Xenopus tropicalis: one gene and its partner. Each later gene encodes a partner of the first gene's protein in a complex. Links are inferred from orthologs where the notes say so. Each region holds a gene or a part of one and is shown in the gene's direction. Other genes may lie near its edges.

Region 1 (2,152 bases):
TGTACCAGCCTAAAGTACAGCATTTCTGCCCATATTTGTTATTAGAGTTTAGTGTGCCCACAAGCAATTTCTTACGCCTGCCTACTAAACATTACAGTGGGTTAATATAATAAAGGAAATTAGCTTTTCTTGGATGTAATTTTGCTACCTCGGTAATAATCAGAACCAATAGGTCTTACAAGGTGGCTTTATACCATAATGGCTGTTTTTAAAAGGCAACAAAAAGTTTACTCACTGGGAGGTGTCGATTTGTTAGGCACCCAGTAATGAGTTGTAACACCAGCTTTATGCCCAGGACAAGGTGTATGGCTGGGGAGCAAGACACTGTTTTTTCCATCTGCCAGTCAATGAATAGTTGTGTTGTGCAGCTCTTACCCTGGAGACAGGAAAACTGAGATTGTTGGCTTCCTCTCAGTTGTGTGACTCCATCTGCTCTTCTTCCTCCCCTGCTTTAGAGGTGGATATATAGATTCACTTGTGCGTGAATGCTGGGCTTGACCTTAGTTATTTTTGGTAGATGCCCTTTACTGAGCAATGTAATATTTGCACGTCACCCTATGGTTCAGTGATTCTCAACTCTATTGACCTTTATAGATATGGCATTAAAGGAGCAGCGTACCTGAAAAACATAGATGGGCTTGTACTTGCATGCAAGGACAATGGGCGGTGCCACTGGATGCCTGGGTCCCTGCAGCGTTTACCAGATCGAATTGTGGTCACTACCCAGGAAGCAAAGTCATTCTCCTATTGTCTGTTTGATCATGTGACTGTGAGTATCCTATTAAATGCCTCAGGTCTATTATATATATTCTGCATGGTTTATTCGTCATTCATATCAGTCAGTCCCTGCTTGTGACTTTAGCTTTGTTTATTATTGCACAGGTGCGGATACATGTCCAGTCATCTCGATTCCACCCAGATAGCATTCGGCTGGAAATAATCAGGAACAGACCACATTCGTCCCAGGAAGCGCTGCCCTCTGCATCAAACCCTCAGCTGGCCAGGAGCGAGCTGGTAAAGGAAGTTACCAGAACAGCAGTAGAGGCTCAGTTGGCGGTGGAGGGAGCAGAAGAGTTGAAGCCTGTGGAGCATTACCAGGAATACAGGCAAACTCAGGGACAGAGTCTGTACTCTATGCTGGAAGAGCTCTGGGACCTGGCTCTACTGGATGTATCTGGTGCATAATACTCTTTATACCGTGCTTTAGGGCTCTGAACCTCTTCTTACCCCAGTCGGCGTACATAGGGCGTAGTTATAGCAGTTTTAATCAGCTGAATGACCTTAGGCACAAATGAGTATGTTGCAGCAACCTGAATCGGTGTCAGACTTGTTGTACAGAAGATCTATATTGCTAAGCAGAAGCTTTTACCCTGTCCCTGTAAGGAATGCAGACATGGAAAGAGCCCTTTTTATCTCTGCCTTCTTTTCTCTACTCCTACATGCATAATCATGTACTTTATCCTCTCAGGGTCACACAAAGAAATGATAGGTTCTTATTTAAACCCATTTTAGATTGTTCAGCCTGTAGATATGGAATTTCAGCGCACTTTTAGCAGGCAGCATACATTGGATATCCCAAGGAAATTATTCTTTTATGTTAATTAGACTTTATATGATTTTGTTTTATGTTGCATAAATGTTTATTTTTGAAAGCTTTGCTGTCTGTCTTGGTTTGCAAAAATTTGATACGGAGCAAACAAACACTGCTGATAAAAAATCTCTTATACTTTATTCAAATTCTTTAAAATCATGGTGTGCACTTCCAGGCAAAAAAGACCACACGCCTGACGCGTTTCGTGGTATCCCACCACTTTCTCAAATACAGCTTTTGAGAAAGTGGTGGGATACCACGAAACGCGTCAGGCGTGTGGTCTTTTTTGCCTGGAAGTGCACACCATGATTTTAAAGAAATTTGAATAAAGTATAAGAGATTTTTTATCAGCAGTGTTTGTTTGCTCCGTATCAAATACAATACTTCGTTTAGTCTGCTGCCGTCTGGGTTCTGGCGTGACGTGAGCACACACTGTTGCCCGGTAAGTGCTCCTGTGATTTTGAATGTAAAGTTTGCAAAAATTTGCCTGAGTGGGTTTGCTTTCCCTTTGGAGAAAAAATTGGTGGTCGGCTTCAGATAGAGGAACTGTTAGCATTGGGC
Region 2 (4,150 bases), on another chromosome or scaffold:
GAAGCCAAACAGGAAGAAAAAATGCTGAGCTGCATAAAGAAAGTTCTCATAATGCCTCACTCCTGCACAGACATGCATACCAAGTGAACATGCTCAGTTCCTAAGGGGGGGAGCAGGAAAGAGCAGAAAACAGAAAGCTGCATGTCTCTGGCACAGGAATTACAGACACAACTAATCTTTTTTCAGAGAAGTCAGTGCAGCATTTCTGTGAGTGCTTATGGCTGTATTTACATAGACCTTTCTGATAAAGCTTACTTAGTTTTTACCTTTCTTTCTACTTTAAAGGGCATTTTCAGCGTTTTTAACACATTTCTGGGGGTTTTGGGGTCTTGTTTTATGTGTTATTAAAACAAGTCCCCAAAACCCCCAGAAATGTGTTCAAACTTAAAATAACCTGTCAAATGTAGTCAAATTGGAGTGGCATTTAGGGGGTGTGGTCAAAAAATTGCTGCGCTGTGCACAGCATTTCTTTTTGTACCTCTATCCATTTTCAAAATGTTGGGAGGTATGCTATACATCAGTGCTGTCCAACTGGCGGCCCACGGTATGGCACACACAGGCAGCATAGGGCAGGCAGAGTGCAGCTTATGTGTGCCATACTCTGCCTGCCCTGTGGGAGGTGAACATGGCAGGGGTTTGTTCTGGGAGTTTGTCAGCAGTTGGAAAAAGCCATTAAATGGTCCCTAAGGTGTGTAATTATGTGCCAGGAGTTGCTGTGCTATCCACAGGGGAGGTGGAGGCACATGGATTTAAAGGATAAGGAAAGGCTAAGTCACTTGGGGGTGCCAAAATGTTAGGCACCCCCAAGTGACTTTAATCGCTTACCTTGTACCCCGGGCTGGTGCTCCTGTTAGGAGAAAACAGCACCAGCCCGGGGTACCTGTAGCGATGCACTTCCTTCCTGCTTCGTTTCGCTGCGACTATACGATAGGTGCATGCGCAGTAGAGTGAAAAGCCGACTTCTCTGTTAAAGTTAGGCTTTTTCACTCTACTGCGCATGCGCGTGCACGGAAGCAAGAAGGAGGAAGCACTGCAGCTACCCCGGGCTGGTGCTGTTCTCTCCGAACAGGGGCACCAGCCTGGGGTAAAAGGTAGGTGATTTAAGTCTCTTTGGCACCCCCAAGTGACTTTGCCTTTCCATGTCCTTTAAGGCATATGTCTTATTATTACATAATATAATTCTTTCACAATGATGGTTGATATCCCCGCAGTGAGGACCAAGCTTTTGGGTTTTTGCTGCACTACCACCATTGTGATAAAATGGGTGTGGTTTGAAGTGGGTGTGGTTAAAAGGGGAGTGGTCAAAACTGGCTTCCATTAGCGACCCTTCACCATATGTTCTAGAGAAATTCCGGCCCTCTGCACCGCAGAAGTTGGACAGCACTGCTATACATAGTTATATCAATGTTGAAAGGTAAGCAGGGCCATCCTTTTATTTCCAATAAAGATAACTTTCTTGTAAAAAGTGCAATATTTATAAATCCTATAGTAGGAATATCTTATTTCCATAGGCTTCAAATGAATATCTTGCTGTGGCAATATTGATAGAATACAGTGTGTTGCAGATTTACTGTTTTGCTGCTCATTGCAGCTTTGTCAAGAGAAAAAAATTTGCACTTGTTCACATCTGAGCACATGGTTTTTAAAAATGTGCACACAACTAAAAAATGTGCACACAACTAAAAAATGTGCACACAAAAGGATTTTTTGCGCATGTAACCTAGAAGAAATTAGAGTGTACCTTTTTTTCTATTTTGTATATGTAACTTCTTTTCCTCCCTGCCACCTCTCCCTCTCCATTTTCCTCTACTTTGTCTAGAACCTCATCTAATCTATCTTCCACTATCTCACTGTTCCCTGGCCACTATGAGGGTGATATGAGGGTGAGGGTAGGCAAGAAGTTAACCTGCACTCGACTCAATCCCACCAGCTTCCGACCCATCCTAGCAATCCATTTCTTTCTAATCAGTGTCATGTCACATAAGTAGAGCTGTCAACAGGGCTGGAACTAGGGGTAGGCATAAGGGGCACTTGCATGGGTGCTACAATGAGGGGGTGCCAGGTAGGTACATTTAGATTGTAAGTAAACTCTATGGGGCAGGGACCTCCATCCTCTTGTGCCTTTGACTCTTAAGGTGGCCATACACGCACCGATAATATCATACAAAACCTCGTTTCGTACGATATTCGGTGTGTGTATGGTATGTCGGCGAGTCGACCGATATCGCAGGAAGCTGCTGATATCGGCCGACTCGCCGATCGGACCAGTTTAAAAATTTTGATCGGGCGCCATATTAGGCACCTGACCAAAATCTCCCTTCAGCGCTGAATCGGCAGAAGGAGGTAGAAATCCTATTGTTTCTACCTCCTTACCTGCCGATTCAGCCCTGAATGGTGTGTGGCGGATCTGACGATGTTTCGTGCGACCATCGTCAGATCGCCACGTGTATGGCCAGCTTTACTCTTATTGCTACTGTATCTTGTATTTATTGTTATACTTTGTATTTATCTATTATCTTAACCCCCTGTTTGTATAAATGTATTCTACTGTACAGCGCTGCGTACATACATACTAGTCTGTGTATCACTGCACCGCCACTTGTCATTACCCGGGGGCAGCTATGCATAAGGCCAGCAAAAATGATGCTTTTTGACAATGTTATCAGTAGTTAAAAAAGATTAAAGATTAAGGCTGGTACAGGTTTCCAAAGAAGGTGGCAACCCTAACTGTAACATTGCTTGTGGCTTGTAAGAAAATAATATATTTATATTTATTGTACTAATAAAAGAAAAACAAAGCACTTTCCTAACGCACTGGCATTTTGACAACTGTATAATTTACGGACTACTTGCGTTACTACATTATAGATGCAAATATACATACAAATTTAATCGCAGCACGAAATAGCTAATTTTTCCTATTCCATCAACCATCATGGCTGACCTTGCTTCTTCGAACAGGAACTAGATGTCACTTTATATCCTAGAGCGTGAGGCCATCATCGCGGGTCGCGTTTTTAACTGACGTAGTTGTGCGTCATTCAAAAGAAGATGGCGGCGCCCGGTGGAGGCATGCAGAAAATGGAGAATTCGGTAGATATTCGGGAGGATCAAGACCTGTCCCGCGACAACTCCGAACCCATTCCCGGTTTTTCAGACACGGACGCTTTTGTTAAGGTTTAGGTTTATACTATTATTGATAATCTCCCTACACGTTTTGATAATTCGTTGAAATGTCACTAGACCGTAAAAAAGTGTTAACAGATTTTTTTGTTGCGTTAGTACTGAAGCTAACTTTTCCACATGTTTGAATAGAGTTTACGTTATAGTTTGTGTGGTAGGAAGTTTTGTGGAAGCAACAGAGCAGACGTTGTCATTTAAAATGAAATTTCTCTGCACACGCTTTGTTCTAAAGAATAACTACTATTAGCAAGTGTTGATGAATTCACGGCTTCCACGTTACATCAGGACTCAGTACTTGGGAGCTTGGTATAACTATATCAGCAACTTGTATTTATATTATCCATAACTGTACAACATTAACCCTTTCACTGCCAGCCGTTTTGGACTAAGCGGAACTTCTACTGCCAGACAGTTTTTGAACATTTTGCACTGTTTCACTTTAGGGGCCTTTCCTGGGGGGGACTTTTAGTTTACCCTGGAAGACAATATATTGTTTTTTTCAGGACAACCTAAGATTTTAAAATATGGTAGAAATTTTGTGTAATTCCAATTCTGTAACAAGATATAGGCTTCTAATTGTCTAAAAAAATGGAAAAAAAAAATATTTTCCACAATATAAACACATACACCAGAAACAAAAATTAGTTTATGCATGAAAATACAACTGATTTGGAAAGTCCCATGTCTCCTGAACGTGCCAATACCAAATATATATATAGTTTTATGGAGATTTATGGCCTGAAATCTATACAAATAGGTCAAAAACTCCCAGCAGTACACTACCAAATTTCCAAAGCACTGCTCCAGAATGCTGCTTACTTCAGATTTCAAGGCCACTAACAGAAGGTTTATCCCAGAAAATTATACATTTTAAGAAAGAACAGATTCTGGGGAATCTATAATAGGTAGAACTGCCTGTCTACTCCAAACTACCAAGTTGCAATGCTTTCCTAAAGTTATAGTAATT

The links.
Region 2: dis3l (region 1) and exosc10 share a complex: the UniProt entries of both Homo sapiens proteins name them as parts of the RNA exosome complex. The link is inferred for Xenopus tropicalis from reciprocal best matches to the Homo sapiens genes DIS3L and EXOSC10.

What each region holds. Positions count from the first base shown.
Region 1 is NC_030679.2:117,130,569-117,132,720, forward strand, and holds the end of dis3l (DIS3-like exonuclease 1), read left to right. Parts: intron 1-594; coding exon 595-769; intron 770-882; coding exon 883-1,185; 3' UTR 1,186-1,652; downstream 1,653-2,152. UniProt on the Homo sapiens protein: Catalytic component of the RNA exosome complex which has 3'->5' exoribonuclease activity and participates in a multitude of cellular RNA processing and degradation events.
Region 2 is NC_030683.2:64,900,376-64,904,525, reverse strand, and holds the start of exosc10 (exosome component 10), read left to right. Parts: upstream 1-1,350; 5' UTR 1,351-1,414; intron 1,415-2,987; 5' UTR 2,988-3,051; coding exon 3,052-3,177; intron 3,178-4,150. UniProt on the Homo sapiens protein: Catalytic component of the RNA exosome complex which has 3'->5' exoribonuclease activity and participates in a multitude of cellular RNA processing and degradation events.